Oryctolagus cuniculus: one gene and its partner. The protein of the gene in region 1 purifies or fractionates together with the protein of each later gene. This does not show direct contact. Links are inferred from orthologs where the notes say so. Each region holds a gene or a part of one and is shown on either strand. Other genes may lie near its edges.

The links.
Region 2: the proteins of ASXL2 (region 1) and OGT purify together in Homo sapiens (affinity purification with mass spectrometry; 3 studies listed by BioGRID and IntAct, with this or other methods). This does not show direct contact. The link is inferred for Oryctolagus cuniculus from reciprocal best matches to the Homo sapiens genes ASXL2 and OGT.

The regions. Positions count from the first base shown.
Region 1 is NC_091433.1:176,871,095-176,875,511, forward strand, and holds the start of ASXL2 (putative Polycomb group protein ASXL2), read left to right. Parts: upstream 1-1,335; 5' UTR 1,336-1,619; coding exon 1,620-1,676; intron 1,677-4,417.
Region 2 is NC_091453.1:51,360,586-51,364,396, reverse strand, and holds part of OGT (UDP-N-acetylglucosamine--peptide N-acetylglucosaminyltransferase 110 kDa subunit), read right to left. Parts: intron 2,793-3,811; coding exon 2,667-2,792; intron 1,530-2,666; coding exon 1,359-1,529; intron 1,249-1,358; coding exon 1,132-1,248; intron 1,042-1,131; coding exon 871-1,041; intron 1-870. UniProt on the Homo sapiens protein: Catalyzes the transfer of a single N-acetylglucosamine from UDP-GlcNAc to a serine or threonine residue in cytoplasmic and nuclear proteins resulting in their modification with a beta-linked N-acetylglucosamine (O-GlcNAc).

The DNA of each region.
Region 1 (4,417 bases):
GGGGCTGAGGGAAGGCAAGACTGCAACTGGTAGTCTCTAATTTTTATACAATGTTGAAGAAGACATGCTATTAGCTAAATGAAGAGGCAGACATTGAGGCGGGGGTCCTCAGGGGAGGGACAAATGCTGATAGAAGCCATCAGGGTAAGTGAGAGGATGAGTAGATTGAATACAGAGGTTGTGTCTGTACAGCTAAGACACTTTTCAAGCTACAGGGGATATGTTCGTAGGAGGGTGAGTAGGGTACTAAGAAGATAGTCTGGCATCCTACCAACAATGAGCTCCAGTAGGGTGAAAGTGAAACAGAACATTTAAGGAAGTCCAGAACTACCGTGGTCACTTCTGAGTGAGACGGGAGAAGGCTCAAGACTAAATTAATAGTCACCTGGAGAACCGTACCATGCCCTCTTGGGAATTACTTAAACTATCTAGGTTTGCGTAAAGTTAAATAGAAACTACAGCGTCCTAATCCACACGGCTCCACCATCGCTCTCAGCCATCTTTCCTCCAGAACCGGCCCAAGCCTCAGTCCTGTTTCAGAATATAGTTGAGTTCGGAGGCAGGGGGTTTCGGGATCAGCAGGGGGGGACTACACATCCTTCACTCGCCAACAGAGACCTAGATAACGCGACGGGAGATGCCACGCTGGGTCCCTCGGGAGGCACTGACGGACAACAGAAATAATGGCTTCTGACTGCAGCCCCCGCTGAATCATTCGGCAAATATTTACCAGGTGCCTGGACTTCCGGGCACCGTGCCAGGGGCTGAGCTCACAGCGATAAGAGACGCCACTTCTGTCCTTGACGAGAGGATTCACAGCCAGAGTGTGAGTGCCGGGGCCGGGGGAGACGCAAAGGGCTCTGAGCCGGCGACCTCCGGCTTCCACAAGTCCCAGGCTCCTGAGCTTGGCAAACCCGCCCTTGTGCGGCCTCATTCACCGAACGGCGGTAACAAGCAGATGAGTGCCGTCGCAAGCCTTCGCTAAGATAACTTTTGTAAACACGAGCATAAATGAGTAAACACGAGTCTCAGTGGAAGCGACAGTTGGCACGGTCACCCCCTCCGACCCCGACCCAAGACCCCCATCTTTGGAGCCACCGAGGCGCCCAGCGCGCAGCTCGATAAGCCTTCTCGGATGGATCAAGTTCCGCTTCCGCAGGCAGGTCTCTGCCGTCCGCTTTCCCTCACGCGCATGCTCCTGCGGAGGGGCGGAGACCGGAAGGGCGGGGGCGTGGCCGGGCGCCGCGGACGGCCGGCTCGTTCGCTGTGAGGCCGGGCGCGGGAGGCGGGGGCGCGCGCGCGCTCGTCCGCGCGGCCGGCTGCGTACAGTAGTGACGGCCGCGCGGGAGTGGTCACATGACCGTAGCGGCTGCCTGTACAGTAAGAACCCAATATGGCAGCGGCGGTCGCAGTAGCAACGGCAGCAGGAGGACCGGCCGCCCCATAGACCCCCCCGCGCACCACCCCCGCCGCTTCCTCTGCTCGGGCGCTCCTCCGGCCTGACTTCCCCTTTCTCCCACCTTTCCCGGCACCGCGGGAAAAGCAGCGCAGGGCAGAGCAGGCAGGGAGGGCGGCCGGAGCCCGGACACGGGAGCCTCCCAGTCAGTTCAAGACCCGACATGAGGGAAAAGGGCCGTAGGAAGAAGGGCAGGACCTGGGCGGAGGCCGCCAAGACGGTAAGGGGGAGGGAGCGAAGGGAAGGCCGGGAGGGTTTCGTTGCCCTGCCGCCCGCCAGTCGCAGAGGAGGGGAGGTCGCCCGCCCGGCGACCCGGCTGAGGGGGCGCAAAACCGCGCGGAGAGGGCGGCGGTTAGCGTCGGGGTTGCGATCCCTGCGGGAATGGAGGCGCCCGGCGGAAGGAGGTCGTGGCGGGGCCGTGGCTTCTCCCAGCGTGTGCGACGAGCCCCCTGGATGTGTGGAGGCTGCCTCTCGGGGTCACGTCGCCATCGCCCCCGCTCCGTGGGGGAGCCCCCGCCGCGGCTCGGGACGGGCTTGTTGTGCTCGCACCGTGAGCGGGCTCTCGTCCCTTGTGCGGCCGGAGAGCCCCCACTGGCCGCGGCCGGGAGGCAGGCTGGTGCGTGCACCCAGCCCGGGGGAGAAGAGGGGCAAGCCCGGCTGCTGCAGCCCGGCGGAGTCGGCCCGCCGCGGCAGACGAGCCGGCCGCCCCCGGGCGCCCTGCGCCGCTGGCCCTCGCAGCCGGCGCGGGCTCACGAGGCTTTTGTTTTTGTTTGCTGTTGGAGCTGAAAGTGCAGGAGGTGTTTAGAAACGAAGTAACAGGTGGGACTTGTAGGATTTTTTTTTTTTTTTCTGTTTCCGTAGAGACCTACTCCGAACAGGGCAGCAATGCATGGCGGGACGTGTAGTTTGCCCGGCCTCCGCTGGTCCGCAGCCCGGGGGCCGGGGGCCGGGGGCCGGGCCAGGTGGCCGCGGGTGGGCGCGGTAGCTCTCCCCTCGCCCTGATCGTGTAGTAGCGGAGTTGTAGAGGTGGGCTCAGGACAGTGGCGGCTCGCGGCGCGGTGGGAACTTTGGGCTGTGTGTTTTTCAGACGGGAACGGTGCAGGCGCGTGTGTCTGTAGGGATGGAGCCTCACACAGGCGGGAGCGGAGCGACAGGGTTGGCCCGCGGGGAAGCGAGAGTGGGTCCCGCGTGCACGCCGTGGATAATGTCGGTGATGGCTGGGACAGCGTGGGCAGCTCTTGTAAATGAACCTTTTTTTTTTTTTTTTTGAGTGAGGTTTTTCTAAATACAAAAAAAAAAAAGATTCACTTTGGGAACGTTTGGAAGATTATAGCAAAGTATAAAAAAGAAAATTAAAAAAAATCATGTATTTCACCCCTCGGCTATGTCTATTAGCGTTTTGTTATGTTGCTGTCTAGTCTCTTGTTTCCCCCGCATTTTATTAAGCCTCGTGCATTTGTTTTGTAAACCGGGCACATTTGTTTTGTAAACTTTATGCATTAGGGGGTTGATGAGGCTTCATCCTGCCTTTCTGGTTTAGGTGGAAATGTGGAAAGTCAAAAAATAGTAACGCTTTTATTTTACTGAGAATTTTCACCTACAGTACATCTCCGTAAAACTAGGATAAAATGCTAGAAATTACTTTGTTGATGATGGTGGGAAGGTTGCTCCTCCACAGATACTTTCTTCCTGATTAATAAAAGAAGCATGATTAATTTTAATTATAGGTAAGCAGACCTCAACCCGAATTATGTTAATTAATTTTATGTTGCTAGGACCTACAGAGTAGTGAGCTCCTTGGATAAGACAGTCTGATCATTGGGAGATAGTGACAAATAGCAAGAATTAGTCTACATCTAATCTGTGTAGATTTCCCTATAGCAAATTATTCTGTTTGCTCATTTCATTCTCTAAGTAGTTGTATGGAAAATTGCATTTAAAATCTGGAAAGACTAATTTGATCCATAGAGTTCTGGGTGAGGTCCAGAGGGGAGCAGTCTGTTACTTGCTTGTTTGGCAGATCTTCATCCTCATTACGTTTTCTAGGCAATCTCACGTGGGTGTGGTATGGATGTGGTATGGCCCGGACTGCTTTGTTGAGCCTGGTATCAATGCACACATCTGGAGTTCTCTTGTCCTTCATGGCAAACTTCCAGATCTCTGTGAGTGCCCGAGGAGCATGCTTCCTGAAGCCCACACCACGGACACGCGTGTGAATGTTGGTACATCCCTGGTCACCACCTCACTGATAGAAGAGCAGCTCCTCTTCATCCTTCCTGTGGGAGCCGTCCTGCAGGGCCCAAGTTGAATAACTTTTTCTTTAAGAACAAGGGTGGGCCTCTTATGCCTCGTTGAGTATATATTAACTGGTCCAGAGTCCTTTTAGGTCTATGTTTGCATTATATTTATAATCTCCAGCTTGAAAAAACCTTCACTGTTTTATAGTACAAACTAGAAAGTATAACTGGGCAAAATTTTCTTGGCTTGTAGAACACATGAAAATTAGAGCAGGAAACCACTGTAAGGGACACGGGGTAAAAATTGAGAAACTGCTCAGCTGCATACTTTTTTTTTTTTCCCAAAGATTTATTTATTTATTTGAAATGCAGAGTTACAGAGAGGGCCACTCCCCAAATGGCTGCAGTAGTTGGAGCTGGGCTGGTCTGAAGCCAGGAGCCATGAGTTTCTTCTGAGTCTCTCATATGGGTGTAGGAGCCCAAATACTTGGGCTATCTTCTGCTGCTTTCCCAGGCACATTAGCAGAGAGCTAGATTGGAAGTGGAGCAGCTGGGACTCAAACCGGCGCCCATATGGGATGATGGCATCCCAGGCAGTAACTTTACCTGCCAAGCCAGCAGTCCCCTCAGATGCATAATTCTGAAAACAATAGCTGCGTGTTTACATTTGTGGAACTACTTGCCACTAGTCTGTCTGTGCTGGACTTGATATAACTCTGAGTGA
Region 2 (3,811 bases), on another chromosome or scaffold:
ACTTCTTGCTCTAACCAAATTTCCCAGTACCCTATTAATAATTCAACAGCAAGCTTTTGCTCACTCTTTTTCTCATGAATGAAATATTCCTTTTCTAAATTGCATCGCTAAACTGAAATTATCCCTCCAAATGGTCTCCTCTCGCAACTGTCTCTCCCCACATTGATCATCAGCATTTCTGAGCTTCTACCTTATCTTGCAAACCCACACTTGCGAGTACTGCCTTATGCTGTTATTGCTGTTATTTAACTATTCTAGGCAGGTTCAGCCATTTCAACGAAACTGTTAACTCCTAAGAGGTCTGGGATCCTAGCCTCACACTCTCTTAACAGAGGTGCATACTCATTTATTCAAGCATGCAATACATTATTTGTTGAGTGCATATTACATTATTGTGGTTAACACACATGCCCTAGAGTAATTCAATTCACTGGAGGACACAGAGATAATGTCTTCTGTTGAATATCTCAAATATTACAAAAACACAACAGGGAGGTTATCAATGGAGTAGGGCTGAAGAGGTAAAACCTAAAGTACAGGAACAGATTATTGAGAGGAGCTGTCTGAATGTAAAGTGTAAGTACAATTTAGCCCAGGAAAAGGACACACATTTCACCATATGATAGAGAGCATAGCCACAGGCAGGGAATAACAAGATATTAACACAGTAAACTCTCTCTCAGCAACCTGCTGGCTGAATACAAGAGACTTTTAAATTCAAACCTACAAGGACACCAATTTCCACTGAACTCACATCCTCATCTGTAAAATGAGGATAATAATGCTTCCCTCCTAGAGTTAACTGTGAGGGTTAAAGAAGATAAACGCATGCTTGGTAGCACATGTAATAGACTATTATTCTTTTCTCACCTGTGTGGTTGCCAAGCCATTGCTAATACTAAATCCATTAATCGTTATCTGAATCTGTCCTCTATTTATCATTTCAATAACTGCTTCGGCAATAGTGTTCATAGGAATGACAGGCATATTAAGAGCCGTGTTACTGCTATCTGCATTGTCTCCTCCATCAGGACATTTCATCTAAAAACACAAAAGGATACAAAATACATTAAGGAAAGATCTCAAATGCAATTATCATTATTTCAATGGTAACACTGACGAGATTCTTACCTTCACAATTTTCACATCTGGTAGACTATCAAGAAATGCTTTGAGGTCGATGCCATTCAGAACTATCCGATTGTCGTAAATGTGCCCATTGGACTTAAAATCAATGACTGCTTTTTTCTAATGGAAAAAAACGTTTCAGACATGTCTCAGGGTGCATATGAGCAACAAGAAGGAAATACATGATGACAATTCTTTGAATCCCAGCCCCTCGGCAGTTTTCTACATACCTTCAAGTGAGGGAACATATTAGCATGATCACCAATAAAGAAAGTATGGGGCATATAAGCCAATTTCTCAGAATACTGCTCAGCAACCTCTGCTGGTGATGTTTCCTGATCAGTGATTATATAATCCATGAAAAGTGCACCGCTAGTCCCAGGGTATCCCAGCCACATCGCCTTTAAAAGAGAGAAAGACCAGAAACTGATTAAGAAACTTCATCGGTATACTTCTTTCTTAATTCAACAAACTGTACGCATTAAAGATGGATAGACTCTTTTGTACATGCATCACACCTCAATAAAGTGTTTAAAAAAAACATAAGAACACTCATTAAAAGGTTCCAAATTTAGGGGCTGGCCAGTAGATTAAGCCACTGCCACTTGGAATCTCAGCTATTCCAGTTCCAATCCAACTCCCTGCTAATGTACCTGGAAAAGCCACCCACCCAAGTGGCCCTGCCACTAAAGTGGGAGACCTGGATGAAGCCCCTGGCTCCAGCCTGGCCCAGCTCCAGCCATTGAGGCCATTTGGGGAGTGGACCAGCAGATGAAAGATCTGTCTCTGTTCTCTTTAACTCAGCCTTTCAAATAAATAAACCTTGGCCGGCGCTGTGGCTCACTTGGCAAATCCTCCACCTGTGGCGCCAACACCCCAGGTTCTAGTCCCAGTTGGGGCGCCGGGTACTAGTCCCAGTTGCTCCTCTTCCAGTCTAGCTCTCTGCTGTGGCCCAAGAGGGCAGCGGAGGATGGTCCAAGTGCTTGGGCCCTGCACCCACATGGGAGACCAGGATGAAGTACCTGGCTCCTGGCAGCGCCGGCCGTAGTGGCCATTAGGGGAGTGAGCCAACGGAAGGAAGACCTTTCTGTCTCTCTCTCACTGTCTATAACTCTCTCACACTGTCTATAACTCTCTGTCTCTCTCTCTCTATCTAACTGCCTGGCAAAAATAAATAAATAAATATAAATAAACCTTAAAAATTGTTCCAAATTTAAATAAATTAACAATTAGGATTAACTTCTTTAACCAAGAGCAATAAAGTAGTATTTTAGACTAATCTTCTAAGTGCCAAAATGTTTTTCAAATTTGTATAATTCAACCATGAATTGCATGTCTCCATACGGGTACATATGCATGTATCCAGAGGCACTGTGTTCTGCACTCAAAATTATGTGTCCCTGTACATTTCAAGAACTGTAGTTTCTAAAACATAACTAGGTCTGCTCTACTATTTCATGTATCTGTTAGCCTAAGGGAAAAAAATACATCACTATCTTTGTAGTCCAAGATACATCCCGAGTGACTAATTCCTTTACCTGAATAGGAGCTGGTCTAAGAGCAAAGAGCTCATTTCGTGCACCCTTGGTATAACCATTCATATTCACAAGGATGTGAATTCCATCCTGATGGATGCGATCAGCTGCTTTTCCATTGCATGGAATCTGTGGAACACAAAATAAGAATTCAGCACATATAATCTCAGAATAATGTGATTATTTTTAATGGCATTAAACAGAATTCAGATTCCCTGATGCAAAAGTAGTTAACAGAAATTAACCACACTGATAAAGGCCAAAATATGTGTAAGTGCCATTAATATGCACTCAAAGCATTACAGAAACAGGACACAGAGGAAGAAGAGTTTACCTCTGAACTGAATGTTTGGAGTAGTGACACGTCATAGCAGAGTTAGTATTTGAAAAAGACCTTCAAAGATTACAAGGAATGAGAGGGAATCTGAAAATATAACCTCAGAGGCCAACACTGTGGTATAGCAGGTAAGGCCACTGCATTCAGTGCCAGCATCCCATATGGGCACCAATTTGAGTCTCAGCTGCTCCACTTCTGATCCAGCTCTCTGCTATGGCCTGGGAAAGCAGTAGAAGATGGCCCAAATCCTTGGGCCCTGCACCTGCGTGGGAGACCTGGAAGAAGCTCCTGGACCCTGGCTTCAGATCAGCCCAGCTCCGACCATTGTGGCCATCTGAGGAGTGAACCGGCGAATGGAAGACCTCTCTCTCTCTCTCTCTCTCTCTCTCTGCCTCTGCTTCTCTGTAACTCTGCCTTTCAAATAAATAAATCTTCAAAAAGAAAGAGAGAGAGAAAATATAACCTCAGTAAAGAACAATTGAAAAGAACCAGAGTAAAGGACAAGGTAGGTTTAAAAAAGGTGAGGAGAAGCAGGTGCTGTGGCACAGTGGGTTAAGCCACCACTTGGGATGCCTGGATCCCGTATCAGAATGCCAGTTCAACTCCCAGTTACTCTGCTTCCAATCCTGCTCCCTACCAATGCCCTGGGAAGCAACTGATGATAGTTAAAGTACTTTGAGCTCCTGCTACCCATGTGGTAGAGGCCCAGATGGGGCTTCTGGCTCCTGGCTTCAACCTGGCCTTGCCTCAGTTGTCATGACCACTTGGAGCACAAACCAAGGAATGGAAGCAATCTGTTGCCGTGCCCCCT